Linked DNA regions of Macaca mulatta. The protein of the gene in region 2 interacts with the protein of the main gene of each other region in a pairwise test. Links are inferred from orthologs where the notes say so. Each region holds a gene or a part of one and is shown on either strand. Other genes may lie near its edges. The genes, in order: NR0B1, ESRRG, PNRC2 and DEUP1.

Region 1 (4,255 bases), on a different chromosome or scaffold from region 2:
AGGAAGGAAGGAAGGAAGGAAGGAAGGAAGGAAAAAAGCAAAAACAGAAAGAGGGAGGATGGGAGGGAGGGAAAACGTAAAAATGATTCTACACCAGCTGGTATATACCAATACCCTTCCCTGCCCCATGTCTTCACAGCTGTGTGGCAAGTGAAGACCAATGGATCCAGGCTTCCTGATGCTTGTATTTATCATGATTCACTTAGGAAGGGTGGGGAAAGAAATGCTAATTACACACTTACCAATGGAATACTTTTACAAGGATCAAAATTTCTCGCTGCAGCCATGAAAAAGAATGAGAGCTGGCGGCCATTATCCTTAGCGAAATAACGCGGAAACAGAAAACCAAATTATCACATGTTCTCACTTGTAAGTGGGAGCTAAATAAAGAGATCACATGGACACTAGGAGGGGAACAACAGACACTGGAACCTACTTGAAGGTGGAGGGTGGGAAGAGGGAGAGAATGAGAAAAAATACCTATTGAATACTATATTACCTGGGTGACGAAATAATCTGTACACCAAACCCCCGCGACAAGCAATTGACTTATATAACAACCCTGACATATACTCCTGAACCTAAAAGTTAAAAGAAAAAAAAAACAAACCATATACTAAAATGAAAACGATTCTCACTGTAACAATATTATCCCCTCGTGATTATTATATTCCTAAGTTTTAGGCACTTTTACATCCTGCTCGCTGCCCCCAGCTCTCTTAACACAGCATCCAGGACATAGTGGGCGCTTATAAATACTGATGGAATTAAACTGAGCGCTTATGCTAGCATATTTAGACCAGTGCTTTTCAAACGTCAAGGTGCATGTGAATCCCTGGGGACACCGTTAAAATGCAGATTCAGAGTTAGAAAGTCTGGTTGGAGCCTGACATTGGGCATTTCCACCGAGTTCCCATATGATGTTTGTCTATGTTCTGTATTTTTCAAGGTCTCAGAAAATGAGACCTCCCTATCCATATACAAATATGAGTCTCACAAACTGTGAAAATTTAATGAAAGTTTACAAAGAGCATAGAAGTAGATGTTTCCTCTTTTCCCCTACCCTCCCAATAAAGGGAACAAATTAGATGCGAGGGTTCAATGGAAAGAGTTGCAACAGCATCCAGGCGCTCGCTCTCCTCCGGTCTTCCTGAGAGACAGGGAAAGGGGTAATGAGAAGAAGGAGGGAAGTGTCCAGGAGCTCCCACGCTGCTGTTCCTCTTCCATTTTCAGCTTTTAAAGAACACCCGCCCCTTCGAACCACCGAGGTCATGGGCGAATACACCGGAGCGCAGCACCGCGCCCCCCCTGCCCGCCTCCGCGCCCTTGCCCAGACCGAGGCGGCCGACGCGCCTGCGTGCGCGCTAGGTATAAATAGGTCCCAGGAGGCAGCCACTGGGCAGAACCGGGCTGCAGGAGCCGCGGGCCATGGCGGGCGAGAACCACCAGTGGCAGGGCAGCATCCTCTACAACATGCTTATGAGCGCGAAGCAAACGCGCGCGGCTCCTGAGGCTCCAGAGACGCGGCTGGTGGATCAGTGCTGGGGCTGTTCGTGCGGCGATGAGCCCGGGGTGGGCAGAGAGGGGCTGCTGGGCGGGCGGAACGTGTCGCTCCTGTACCGCTGCTGCTTTTGCGGTAAAGACCACCCACGGCAGGGCAGCATCCTCTACAGCATGCTCACGAGCGCAAAGCAAACGTACGCGGCACCGAAGGCGCCCGAGGCGACGCTGGGTCCGTGCTGGGGCTGTTCGTGCGGCTCTGATCCCGGGGTGGGCAGAGCGGGGCTTCCGGGTGGGCGGCCCGTGGCACTCCTGTACCGCTGCTGCTTTTGTGGTGAAGACCACCCGCGGCAGGGCAGCATCCTCTACAGCTTGCTCACTAGCGCAAAGCAAACGCACGTGGCTCCGGCAGCGCCCGAGGCACGGCCAGTGGGCGCGTGGTGGGACCGCTCCTACTTCGCGCAGAGGCCAGGGGGTAGAGAGGCGCTACCAGGCGGGCGGGCCATGGGGCTTCTGTACCGCTGCTGCTTTTGCGGTGAAGACCACCCGCAGCAGGGCAGCACCCTCTACTGCATGCCCACGAGCACAAATCAAGTGCAGGCGGCTCCGGGGGAGCGGCCGAGGGCCCCCTGGTGGGACACCTCCTCTGGTGCGCTGCGGCCAGTGGCGCTCAAGAGTCCACAGGTGGTCTGCGAGGCAGCCTCAGCTGGCCTGTTGAAGACGCTGCGCTTTGTCAAGTACTTGCCCTGCTTCCAGGTGCTGCCCCTGGACCAGCAGCTGGTGCTGGTGCGCAACTGCTGGGCGTCCCTGCTCATGCTTGAGCTGGCCCAGGACCGCTTGCAGTTCGAGACTGTAGAAGTCTCGGAGCCCAGCATGCTGCAGAAGATCCTCACCACCAGGCGGCGGGAGACCGGGGGCGACGAGCCACTGCCCGTGTCCACGCTGCAGCCCCATTTGGCACCGCCGGCGGAGGCCAGGAAGGTGCCCTCCGCCTCCCAGGTCCAAGCCATCAAGTGCTTTCTTTCCAAGTGCTGGAGTCTGAACATCAGTACCAAGGAGTACGCCTACCTCAAGGGGACCGTGCTCTTTAACCCGGGTAAGGGTACTGGCCTTGGGCGCCGGCTTTTCCCAGCTCACAAAAGCATCAGGCAGTGCCTATCTAGGGGCGCGGGCAGTAAGGAGTTTTCAGTGATCAGGAGAGTGTCGGGACAAAGGTGAAGAAATCATGACTAACTCAGCAGAGTTGGGGTGGGGGGCTCCAGGAACCACTTCTCCTGAGTGGGCTGCTGTCAGAAACTCAGCCAAGAGGAGGGGAGTTGTTTGTTTAGGTTTGTACTTAGCTCTTTACACGTTTCTTACTACAGAAAAGTTTGTGCCTTCATGGGAAATGGTTATTCTTTCTTTAGCTTTCTTTGAAGTCCAGAGCATATCTTTTTCTAAAAGTTTTTGCTCACTGAAGATTCTGCGACATCGATTTCTGAAACTCCATTCTGAAATTTACTAGAACCTTTTTTTGGGGGGAGGAGATCTATTAGGGCTAGCAAAAAAGGAAACATTTGTTAAAGGGTCCCATAGAGAGACTATTCCCTAGGGACACTGTCAGACAGTACACTGGATGTAGTGTTTCATAGGCCTGCCTCTGAATGGTTATTTGTATGGTCCTAAGCATCTGGACTATCCCTTCCTCCAAATCTCTGTGAAGAATATCAGGTTGGCAAAGGGATAAGAAAAAAAAAAAAAGTCACTTTAGGGACTGAGAGCAGGAACACTGTATTTTAGAATTCAAAGAGACTTTAGAGACCTCCTAATCAACCCCCTTTGCTCTGTAACCTTCCCCCACCGCATTTTACTGTGTAGGTGGATGTATCCCAAGGTCCCAAGTGACCTTACTCCAAAGTAAATGGCTGGTGTGTTGTGGCACCTGAGGGTCCTATCTTCTGGGCCCTGTGGGATGTCGGCTGCACCAAACTTTCAGGTTGTCTGTTGGGTGCAGGACACACTGTCCCACAGGGTGCAACCAAATCACTGGGGGAACATCTCCCTGGACAGCCAGGCACCTTGTCTTGGGTGTTTCTCTCTACTAGAATCATCTTCAACCAGCGTCCTTTTGAAATGATTGAAGTGGAAAAAAATTTTCCAGGCAACTTGAGTTGGGATAGTTTCCATAATGCTCCTTTTGTATCTTTTCCCTGGTGCTGGAATCTCTGATTATGTCCTGGCCCCCTGCCTAGCATTTTTGAGAGTGCATAATATATATAAATATATTTAATATATATATTTAATATATTTAAATTTATTATATGGGATATACAAAAGACAAACAGCAAAGAGAGGCCACAGTCTCAATAGGCGTTACCTTTCTCCCCAATATAGGTACATTTGAGTTTCAAACACACTCAGCTTAGCTGGTTAAACTCATACTGAGAAAGGATTAGGAAAAGTCAATCAAGAACAAGGAAGAAGTGTGCGTGTGTGTGTGTCTGTGTGTGTGTGTGTGTGTTAAAAGTATATAAAACAGGGTCAAGGGAAAGAGGGAAACTATTGATACTGAAACTAATGGAATGTAAATTTCTGGAAGGTGAGCCCCTTTCACCTTTATATCCCAACAGGACAAGGAACGTAGTGGATGATTAATAATACTAGCTGAAGGAATAAGAAGACTGTTTTCCAAAGTATCTTGAGAATCATCTGTGACCCTTATTATGAATGCAGATTTGCAGACACTGGGCTAGAGCTACTGAATCAGAATCTATAA
Region 2 (4,306 bases):
TGGAGTGTTTCAGTTGCCTTTCCTTCTTCCAACAGCTGTGACAACTGTTAAAACAGTCAGTAAAATTAAGTCCGCTCTATAATCCTGTAGTCAATGTTACATTTTAATCAGAGGTTGAAAGGGATTCATGTGATGAGCACACTCATTTAGAATGATTAGACTGACACATATGTCAAAATGAGCAGATATATTATTTTCATCTATTTATGCTATCAGCTATTACTGCTATTAAATGTGAAACAAGCTTTCAAGTATTATGTTCTTTAATGTGCTGGCACATTTCCTAAAATAAAAAAATACATAGTTAGAGGTTAACATTTTAAGCTCTCTTAATGGTGGTCAATAAATTGTATGAATCTTTTTAACCACCTCCAAAGCAGAAACTGTCCAATATTTTCCTCTAAAACTGTGTAACTCTGGTTTCATTTCTGTGTATACACACACGTGATGGGGTTTAACCCAGTACAATTACTATGAATATTAATAGCATGTATAAATTCTGTGGTTTATTAATTGAGACAGAGAGGCAGATGCGTTGCTTAGCGTTAGATCTTTCTGTCTGTCCAGTGAACCACGTAACCATCAGAACTGCAGGCAGACAATAAATCTGTATTTTTTAAAGATGACTTTTAATTGAGCCCAAAAGAAAGCTAGTTTGAATCTTGCGCCAAAGCCAAAAGGACATGTGCCTTGATTTCATTTAAATGCATCTGCTTTAAGAGGCTTATCTAAACGAATTATTCAAATTAGCTATAAGAAGTTAAATTCAAGGAAACTACTTCAAAAAGAAGGCTCTGGGGGATTTTAAAAGTTTGTTTTCTTTATTTATTTACAAGACAAAGTTCAGAATCTGGGCGTGCTTGGATAAGACATTCTTCCTGACACGAGGACATCTTAAACTCTCCAATTCTACAGCCCGAAGTACACTAACCTTCAAACTACACTTGAATGGGCAGTCCTACCTTTGTTTATTTTTCATTTTTATTTTTACACATCTTAAAGTTGTTTCTTCCCTTGAGTGTTTCAAACTGATGCAAGCACAGCCTTATAATCTTTCAGTTCCTCCTAAATCCATCTCTTGGCTAATATTCCCTGTGTGAGCGTGGACGTGGGTGGATGTGCATGTGTGAGCGTGCATATACACACACACTCACACTCACGCTCAAACATACAGGAGCAGCCACTGAGACTGCAAGTCACTTTTCATCTCTTAATTACAAAGCAATGCAATATGCAGTCACTAAGGACAGCTAGTGGACATCTACCTATAATGCACTACCTCATCTTCTAGAGTTTGATATTTTCTTCACAATCTATAGAGAAAAATGTTTGCCAAGGGCACTCTTTTCAGAATTATAACAGTTGGTATTACTGTAATGTGAAAGCAAAGCAATATAACTGACTCAACAGAAAGGGAGATAAACCAGTGACAGCTCTGGTGATATACTAATATTTTATCTTAACAGTAGGTTGAAATTAAGTTTATGACCTACTCATTTACACAAAAATGCCTAATTTACTTCTCGTACCCCCTACGCACTCCCCTCCTTTAGTAATCTAAATATATATTTCCATGTGCATAAAGATATTCATAAATACTAATTAAACTGCATGTAAGAACGAAAGTACTTTTCTATATTTTCTGGACACAATAAATGAGACAAATCCACACTCTGAACAGAGTTTATTTAAGAGGAAAATTTTTAAGTCACTACTGTTTCTTCTTTAGTTTTTTTTCCCCCCCTTAAATATTTATAATGTGTGAAAATCTCATGTTACCTAATGGACTGATTTGTCAGTTAAGTGCTGACTTAACGCTAACCATGCAAATAACATTATTCTAGCTCAGAATTGCATAGGGCTAGTTTTTAAATTGTTCTCTGAAGGAGAATTAGTAAATGTGCAATTTTGCCTCTAACTCTGCGCGGTAAGAAATGACAAGGAGCTGAAAATATCTGTCAAACTGCAAATACATAAGAGGCACTCAATAGTATAAATCATTTTGAATATTGTATTTTAAAACATCTTTCCTTGGGAAAATGGGTCCTAGTAAAAGATGCATTTTAACAGTTCACTAAGCATTTGTGCCAAGTGCCTATTCTTAGCACCTGAATAAGAAGTGACTGTCACACAGCTGTTTTACTGACAGTCACTGAGCTTTGCCTCAAAGGTAACATTGTAGTCAGAGAACAATTCTCGACTTACTGAATTAGGAGATCACCCTCAACACAAAAGACACAGACAGACACAAACAAGCACTCGTGCACACAAAATACCCAGGGCATTACCTGAATCAGTGTGTAAAGATACAGTCTGTCCGCCCCCACCCCCGCACCCCCACGACGAGTTTAAAAAGGAAAGAAAAAAGGTACCTACTCTTCCTCGTAGTGCAGGGGAAAAGATTCAGGAAGGCAAAGTTCTACCGAATCCATGTGCGACCGGCAACCATTATTTGTGCACCCCAGCTATAAATCAAAGTTTCCTTGACAGAGCACAGTGCAATTAACACAAATGTTCTCCTAGTGACAAGCCTATAGGCACAGCCAGTTGGGACCAAAGCTCTCACACTCTCCTAATCAAGGACTTAAAGCCCCGATTGGAGCTTATTAATATGAAGTAGGGCTTTACATATGCAGTCCCACCGGCCCAGCCGCGCAGCCGATTGGGGGGCCTCTGCCCAATCAGGAGGGAGGCGACGGGAGGCTGCACGGAGCGAGAGGAGCCAGGCAGGTAGGCAGGGTGCAGAGAGCCGAAGGGGGCTGGAAACTGAGAGTGGGCAGAGAAAAAGGGAGCGGAGAAGGGAGCGGTTGAAACGCTCCCAATACACACTCTCGGGTTTGATTTTTTTTTTTCCTCCCTTCTCTCTCTCTCTCTCTTTTTTTTTTCTTCTGGGAAGCTACAAAAGAAACATAACTAACTTAACTCTCTAAGCACTGGAGGGATTTGCCTTTGATTTCTAACCTAAGATCTCTTTTGCCTTGAAAAGGAGAACTCACGCAGACTCTCAGTTAATTTGGGAAAGGATTCTGCGGAAGGTAGAGAATTAAGTTTGTCCTGCCGTTGTCTGTGTTTTGATTACACCGGGGGCTGCTGTTTATTTGGTGCTGTACTTTCTCATGTATTCCTAATCATGTCTTTTCCTGTTTTCCTGATGTATGCTGGGCATTAAAAATAATAATAATAAAGACATTCTTCTAAATTGTTTGAGCATGTGAACTGGGATCGTCATCTCTGAGGTGGAATGCAGTTTTACACAACTACAGAAGAGGAAACAGTGACAATACAATTTGAGAGAATGCCTAAGTAAATTATATGTGTAAACCTTTCTATACCTGCGACTGTCTCTTTACGTGTAGATACAACGCATAGCTTTTCAAAACAAAGGTAAACAACCGCAGGACAAATTGGCTTCTTCAGTTTTAGGGGTGGGGAGACTGAGGGTTGTGGGGGTAAATAGCGAATTAAATCTCTCTCAATGCATTTTGACAAAATAAAGAGAGCATTTTTTTTTTTTTTTTTTTGTAGGGAGAGCATTACTAAACAGTGCACTAAAAGTATTCTTAATTATTTGTATATATTTCAGTACAAGCTTCCAAACTAGGAGGCATATAATTATATATATGATTTTACCCAAAACATCCTGCTTTCAAATAAAACACCGTGTACATATTTGTTTCTATACATAAGGCACCCTATATGCTTTAAAAAAATAAACCCAGAAACATTTTATAAACCATCACACAGTCTGGTCACTATAAGAACTAGTTTCAAACAGATAATAATTTACAAAACTAAGAATTCTCAATCAAAAGTGTTCAAAAAATAAATAAATAAAAGGAGGATATAAGAGGACAAGTGTGTTTTTTCCTCCTTTAATTGTGTATACCGTGTCTTTAATTTCCATATAACAAAGAGTTTGCTTAGGTCCTATTTTAATCTACAGGATTTTTTTATACTAGCAAATGTACATTGGAATAGATACCAGCTATTTATGGCGAAGAGATAACTGCTACCTTATGGAGAGTGAAAAACCCACAATTTTGATATAATTCAGCTCTACTGCTTATCAACCTTTTATGTCTTAAGTCCTACATGATAGAAATAGGATAATCTTTGAGATCAAAATAAATTAGTTCAGATATTCATCGTGTGTTAAATTCACTAAATTAGGACTCAACTCCCTCAACCCTCTCAAATTTTCTAGGTCTTAAAAAAAACAAAACACTAAAATAGAGCAGCCACATTAAAATTCAGAATATAAAAATGACAGACATGATTTGGTCCCCCCACAGAAGAAAGCAATTTC
Region 3 (4,170 bases), about 140 Mb from region 2:
AGCCTGGCCAACATGGTGAACTCCTGTCTCTACTAAAAATACAAAAATTAGCAGGGTGTGTTGGCGGGCGCCTGTAATCCCTGCTACTCAGGAGGCTGAGGCAGGAGAATCGCTTGAGCCCAGGAGGCGCAGGTTGCAGTGAGCCGAGATTGTGCCACTGCACTCCAGCCTGGGCGACAGTGCGAGACTCCGTTTCAAAAATAAACGACAAATTACATGAGATTTATAAGAAGTTGGTAAATACAAATTATTTAATGTAAACTTACGTATGTATGTATCCATGTGTATACACGAACAAACTGGGAATGTAATGAGACTTGATTTTGTACCGTTTATCCCAGAATTATTCACGCTCATTGAAATTAGTGTTCTCTTTTAAAAGATTCACACTGGGTTGCTCACACACGTACTCCAAAGAAATTGCCATTTTCCCCTTACCTGCATCTGGCTGGCATAATCAACTAAACAATATTCTCTTTCTTTCCTTTTTTTCACTTACAAGTGGGGCAAAAAGGGGAAGGGAGCAGCCCTCATTCTCTCAGCAAACTTACTGTGCACTTACCACGCGCGAAGGCGCTGCGGTCAGAGAAACAAAACCTAACCGGTTGTGGCCCTCGAGGGTGTGTGGGTGGGGAGAGCTGCTGCCACAGGAAACTGTAACACGGCGCGTTAAGGGCTCTAACTGAACTTAAGGGCCAATGGGGCCACCAAGCAGGAAGTGACTGACTTGCCCGCGTGTGTCTGAACCGCCTTCACACGGAGGCAACTTTTGAGTAACTGCGGGGCTGGAGGGTGGGGGGCACCGGAGGGAACCGCAGGGACGCGCCGACTTCGGATGCGGAGTTGTGAATGTGGGAGAGAGGCGACCCAGAAGTCGAGGCCCGAGGCGGGCGGGGGCTGGGCCCTGGCAAGCGGCTTTCTGGAGTATCCTCCATCTGTCAATACAGGCTACGCGACTCAGTGGCCCTAATTCGAGAGCCAAACGTCCCCCGCCGGTCAGTCTTTTCCCTCAGGGCAGTCCCAAGGGCAGCGAGCCCGCGCGCACGAGCCGAGCGGGAGGAAGAGCCGAGAGCTAGCGGCCGGGGCCTTGGGGGGCCAGGGGCGCGGGGAGGCCGCGGTGGTAAGGCCGTGAACACCGGCGGACCGGGCAGTTACTCCCGGCATGCTCCTCCTCCCCGGGCGGATTTCAAACCCTCGGCAGCCCCACCTCCCCGCCTTCGCCCCCGGCCTGCCCCAGCAACAGGCGGCGGCCCGCTTCTCATTGGCCAGGCCTGCGCTGTCGTGTTTTGATTGGCCGCGGAGCCGCCCGGCCCTGCTTCTGCGGTCGCCGCCGACTCCATTTTGTCGGTAGAGGCAGAAGGAGGAGGTTGGGTTGTAGAAGCTAGGGTGACCGGCAGCTCGCTCATCGGTGTTCGTGGGCTTTGTCGGTCCGTGCCTCGTCTCTCCCTGGAAAGGGAGGGAGGCTTCGACGTCGAGAGGGAGCCACTGCCGCCGTAGTTCCGAGCTTGAAGTCGGTAAGTAGCGGCTGTGCAGCGGGCGCGGCCATGTTGGTGGCTGCGCTCCCCATTGTTGGGGGAAGGAGGCGAGCGGAGGCGAGATCCGGGCGGGCGCGGGCGGTCGCAGCGCCCCGACCCCTGCGGCTCCGGAGAGATGGGGCCACTGGGAAGCCAAGCCTGTGTGGCGTCGGAGGCGGCGAGTTTTCCGAGTTCGAGTTGTGAATGACTCACAGTCCGGAAATGGCAATTTATTTAGGGTGGTTTATCTGTTTGGAAGGCTCTCTTACCCCTTTGAAAGGAGGGGGCTTAACTATTTGGTAACTTATTTTCTTGGAACATCAAATTAAAACCAAACCTTGAATGTTGAGCTGTTCCCTCTAGGGAGACATTTTTATAGATTTAAGATGGGCTTAGAGTGTTAGGGCTTGTGAGAACTTATTTTAAGACGGGGAGGAGGCGAGGGTGTTCACAACCAAAGGAAACACTGCGTGATGTCTACATGTTCCAAGAGACTGAAAATGGATGTGACGTGTGTGGAAAGATTGGAAAATTCTGGTGGGAGTTTAAAAACACGGTCTCTTTTGAAAATCCGCCTGAAGCCAATTTTTTGATGACTCTTAACATTTTAACACTCGTTATTTGATTTTATACGTGAGAGAATCTGAAGATCTTTCCCAGGAAAAAGATAAAAACAAAACTTACTGCGGGACTTCGAGACATTTCCAAAAATTCCCCAGGAGTGACTGGGTCTCAAGGGTGAAGAGTTTTTAAATGATCGTGGTTATGAGGTCAAAGCCATCTTAAATTTTCTACCTTTTAGTTCAGGAAGTAGCCTTCTTTACAGTCAACGATTTTTGTAGTAAATCTAAATGATCACTTTCTCAACGTGTTTTTGAAATAATGAAGTAATCTTTACTTTTCTAGCTAGGACTTCTCTCAAACTTGTGTGCTGAGGAGACTCAGATGTTGGCCTCAGCTCCTAGGCTGAACTCAGCAGATCGGCCCATGAAAACTTCTGTATTGAGACAAAGGAAAGGATCTGTCAGAAAGCAACACTTGTTATCTTGGGCTTGGCAGCAAGGAAGAGGACAGGTAGTGGAGATCCTGCAATCTGAAAAGCAGACTGAAAGGTAATCATCATAATGGGCAAACATTTTATGATGGAGCCATCCTAAACCAATTGTTTTTATTTTAAAATAGATTATGCTGATTTGTGGGTAAGCTCATTTTTCTTAGAGACGGTATAATAATAAAGGTTGTGCATATATTGGAGTCTAAACAGCTTGCTTTTTTAATTTAAAGCAGCTGAATAGCCTATTACTGAGTCTTGTTCAAAATATCTGGAGTTATAAGTTGGAGCCATAGAAGCTTTTTACAGATTTGAACTTAATGGAATTTTACTCAATATTTGTTTCCATTCACTTGTAGGTGACAAAGAAGCTGAAGATGGGTGGTGGAGAGCGGTATAACATTCCAGCCCCTCAATCTAGAAATGTTAGTAAGAACCAACAACAGCTTAACAGACAGAAGACCAAGGATCAGAATTCCCAGATGAAGATTGTTCATAAGAAAAAAGAAAGAGGACATGGTTATAACTCATCAGCAGCTGCTTGGCAGGCTATGCAAAGTGGGGGGAAGAACAAAAATTTTCCAAATAATCAGAGTTGGAATTCTAGCTTATCAGGTCCCAGCTTACTTTTTAAATCTCAAGCTAATCAGAACTATGCTGGTGCCAAATTTAGTGAGCCACCATCACCAAGTGTTCTTCCCAAACCACCAAGCCACTGGGTCCCTGTTTCCTTTAATCCTTCAGATAAGGAAATAATGACATTTCAACTTAAAACCTTACTTAAAGTACAGGTATAAAGTAAGACAAATGTTAAAATTATGTTCGCGGGTAGTTGTCAATTGGTCTGAAACATTCGCTAAGGAATTAATCTATTTGTGTAGAACTGCTAATTAATGTAAAAAAAATAGACGATCTTGTGTGCACTGTGATACAATGGTAGTATCAGTGCAACTTAAACTAATGGTATTTGATATTAAGTGTTCTCAACTGAGTAACTTTTAAGTGGAAACCAAGTTTAGATTTGGGGAGTGGTAAAGGAATCAGCTTTTTCTATTGTTAGGGGAAGATAGTAATTTATCATTCATGGAGTAGATTGTTGAAAGTTGGTGAATCAGATTATAAGCTTCAAGCTAACACAAGGATTCAGAATTAGGTAAACATCTGAAAGTTTAGTATATTAGAAACACCCAAACCAGTAATATGCTAACAACCTGATGCACTGCTGAAAGAAAATGTGAATTTTTTGTAATAATTGCATTTTAGTGAATTGTACAGTGGGTGGAAAGGGCATTTGGAGCTCATTAGAATGAGACATAGTACATCCCAATGGCCCTGTTTATTAAATATAGTGGATTAAGTGTCAACAAATACACCAAAACCATTTTTTATAGAAACAGTATTTAATGGTCACTCAATAGCTTTCAAAATACATTTTTGTATTACAGCACTGCACAAGCTATTCTAATAGTGATCTGGCCTCATCATTCCTGCAAAGCTTGCTTTGGGGAGTTGGATAATGTGAAAATTTTAAGTACCTAGGGGAGAAAGAGCCATGTACATATCTGTAATAAACTTGTAGCATATGTAAAGTTTTATTGGCCTTTA
Region 4 (2,864 bases), on a different chromosome or scaffold from region 2:
GTGAAAGGGGAAACCATGGTATTGGTATGATGCATAATTCCCACTGAGGTAGCCAAAGACAGAGGATGGATTAAATCATCCTACTTGCTGGATGCTCTGTCTCAACCAGGACTCAACAGCATGACGAGAATTGTCTTGCAAATAGTATATAGGTTTCGGCTACAGATGGCATAGTCTTGTTTCAAAATCTTAAGGGTCTGTGATACAGCTTTCCCACTGAAACTTTCCAGAGGCTCCACAACGCATTTTCCTCTACCAGAGATTCTTCCAGTATGGGATCTACCAAGTCATTTGACCAAAGTAGCAGGACTGCTTGTACCCTATCCTGAACCTACTACACAGCTCTTTCTTTCTAGAGTTCTGGGCTTGCTCAAAAAAAATTGTTTTCTGTGTTGCCCAATAAATGAATCTGATTATTCAATTATTTGATCCAAGGGTGGAACATTTTCAAGGTGCATTAATTTTTGCTTTACCTAGGATGTTCTGACATGCCCCATAGCAGCAGACACCTAAAAACAACGTGACAAGCCCCAATCTTTTACAGGGTTTATCTTTCACCCTCTGGCGTACTTGCATCTTTCCATCCCTTTAATATACTTGCTACTTCTTGCTCATCAAGTCTCATTAACATGATGTTAGTGTTAATATATGATGTTCCATGTGATAGTCTTTGGAATGTCCAGATGGGCTAGGCCCCTTCAGAATTTATTGTGACAGCTTCATTAATATAACATTGGGGCAAAACCATGGATAAATACTGTTGGCCACCCCATGTGAATGCTAACTGCTTCCTATCCTCCTTTTTATTAGATATTAAAAAGAATGCATTTGCTGATATTAAAAAGAAACCATTTGCCAGATCAATAGTAGCATACCATCTACCTCAGGCTGTGACAGTCTTCTCTAGCAGAGATACTATCCCTGACACAGCAGCTACAGTTGGGGGCTACTAGTTGGAAAAGTGTGCAGTACTCCATCATTTGCATGATCCCTAGTTTTGGCAGGGGCCAGATTGGTAAACAAAATCCACCTATAACAAGGTTCACATGTATACAGATTGTCAACTCCCCAAACACTACATAAAGTCCCATTTTTCCTACCAAAATGAAAGTCAAAGAAGAATATAGTAACCACAGAACTGGAAAATTAAAGTACAAATTTCCCCAACTAAAAAAAAAATTACTTAATTTTTGTATGTGGCTTTTTAAAATGAAGAATTGTAAAATTATCTGATGTTGTCCTTTATTCCTTAGCTACAGATTTTTATTTTTACTTTTTGTAACTAAGCACTAAACAGGTCACAAACAGTTAAATAGCATTTTCATGTCACCATGAAGGCTGGAATTGGGGCACTCATCCCTGATACTTTCTTCTCTATGATGAGACAAACAAGATACATGCCAGCATCACAGCCCTCCCTACTAGGGAGCCACCTCCACCCCAAGACACATCATGCAGCCAGCCTTCTCACCTGGCTAACTCCAAGCATTGATTCGCCCTGTCAAAGCCAATCCTTATTTTCTATATAAACCTTCTGGTGCAATTCCACTATAATCTTTACTTTCACTTTTTGAGTTGCCTATTTTCAAATGAAAATCACTGGCTTTGCAAATGATTGCAGCATGTTTTAGGCAGGTTCCATGGTGAGTGCATTGTCCCTGCATTTGCGGTTGGACAATCTAATACTCATTTCTAGAGCTTTTTAATGTAATGGTGCTGTGATGTCTTACTTAGTTCCTTGAAGATTTCATTACTGGTAACTGAATTACACTAGTAGTAGGAATTCAGCCCAAGATGTGTTCTTTAATTAAGAGCTGCAGTGTTTGACAGTATGTCAGGGATGAAGCATGCCTGGAAATGTGAAGATGTTTAAAAGCTCTGTATTCCTCATTCACTTTTCTTTCTTTCTCTCTTTAGTCTCCCCCAGATATGTCTTTCCCAGCATCTTTGGCTGCACAGCATTTCCTTCTGGAAGAAGAGAAACGAGCAAAAGAACTTGAAAAACTTCTAAATACACATATTGATGAACTGCAAAGACACACAGAATTTACTCTTAATAAATACTCCAAGCTAAAACAAAATAGACACATATGAGCTTTTAAACTTTTTTATTTGCTTCCCCCCCACCAAGAAAAAAAGCTCTGGCAAAATATTTACAAAGCTGATTAATGAAATCAAGAAATTCTGTTCTGTTTCCTTGAGTAAATAATTTTGGTAAGGCAGCTAGAAAATAGTAAGTATTTTGTTCAATAAAGCTGTTTGCATTTCTGCATAACATGCTAAATTGTCCTGCTGTAGAGTTACTATAAAATAAACATGACTATTCCAAAAGAGATTTTTTTTTCCAGTCTAAGGAATATGTTGGAATTAAATATGCAGTTTTTTCCTCACTTGAATCATGTATACTGAAAACCCATTTCCTCAGCAACTACACAAAATAAGGGAAAGGGAAGTGCTATATTCCAGATACAAACGACTCAAAGGCAGCTCAGTTGTACTGGTTTTGAAAACTCAAGGATTTTATAAATAAAAATATTTAAGTATTTCCAGTTATGTAAACACTCTAAAATTCTACAATTTTTTGAAAAAAAAAAAAAAAAGCTATAGCTTTACTGTTTTTACATTCACCTTTATAATGTCTGTCTGTTTCAACACAATGAAGGTACATGGAATGTGCAATTTACAAACCTAAACTATATGTGCCAAAAATTAACGCTTTTTTGTTAGTACTAATTACTTCACGGACACGAACAAGATAAAGGAAATATGAAGCATTACTGTTGCTACATTTTTCTTTGTAATCACCTCTGTTTTTAATGCAATGAAGGAATGTAAAATTCAATGGACTTGAAGCATAAATGCTA

What was found.
Region 1: the proteins of ESRRG (region 2) and NR0B1 interact in binary tests that used the Homo sapiens proteins (3 or more experiments, as listed by UniProt). The link is inferred for Macaca mulatta from reciprocal best matches to the Homo sapiens genes ESRRG and NR0B1.
Region 3: the proteins of ESRRG (region 2) and PNRC2 interact in binary tests that used the Homo sapiens proteins (3 or more experiments, as listed by UniProt). The link is inferred for Macaca mulatta from reciprocal best matches to the Homo sapiens genes ESRRG and PNRC2.
Region 4: the proteins of ESRRG (region 2) and DEUP1 interact in binary tests that used the Homo sapiens proteins (3 or more experiments, as listed by UniProt). The two-hybrid records come from large-scale screens. The link is inferred for Macaca mulatta from reciprocal best matches to the Homo sapiens genes ESRRG and DEUP1.

The regions. Positions count from the first base shown.
Region 1 is NC_133426.1:30,164,149-30,168,403, reverse strand, and holds the start of NR0B1 (nuclear receptor subfamily 0 group B member 1), read left to right. Parts: upstream 1-1,418; 5' UTR 1,419-1,428; coding exon 1,429-2,596; intron 2,597-4,255. UniProt on the Homo sapiens protein: Nuclear receptor that lacks a DNA-binding domain and acts as a corepressor that inhibits the transcriptional activity of other nuclear receptors through heterodimeric interactions.
Region 2 is NC_133406.1:74,447,672-74,451,977, forward strand, and holds the start of ESRRG (estrogen-related receptor gamma), read right to left. Parts: upstream 2,845-4,306; 5' UTR 2,433-2,844; coding exon 2,377-2,432; intron 1-2,376. UniProt on the Homo sapiens protein: Orphan receptor that acts as a transcription activator in the absence of bound ligand. Binds specifically to an estrogen response element and activates reporter genes controlled by estrogen response elements.
Region 3 is NC_133406.1:217,017,879-217,022,048, reverse strand, and holds the start of PNRC2 (proline-rich nuclear receptor coactivator 2), read left to right. Parts: upstream 1-1,343; 5' UTR 1,344-1,514; intron 1,515-2,420; 5' UTR 2,421-2,626; intron 2,627-2,924; 5' UTR 2,925-2,942; coding exon 2,943-3,362; 3' UTR 3,363-4,170. UniProt on the Homo sapiens protein: Involved in nonsense-mediated mRNA decay (NMD) by acting as a bridge between the mRNA decapping complex and the NMD machinery. May act by targeting the NMD machinery to the P-body and recruiting the decapping machinery to aberrant mRNAs.
Region 4 is NC_133419.1:94,265,803-94,268,666, forward strand, and holds the end of DEUP1 (deuterosome assembly protein 1), read left to right. Parts: intron 1-1,917; coding exon 1,918-2,094; 3' UTR 2,095-2,331; downstream 2,332-2,864. UniProt on the Homo sapiens protein: Key structural component of the deuterosome, a structure that promotes de novo centriole amplification in multiciliated cells.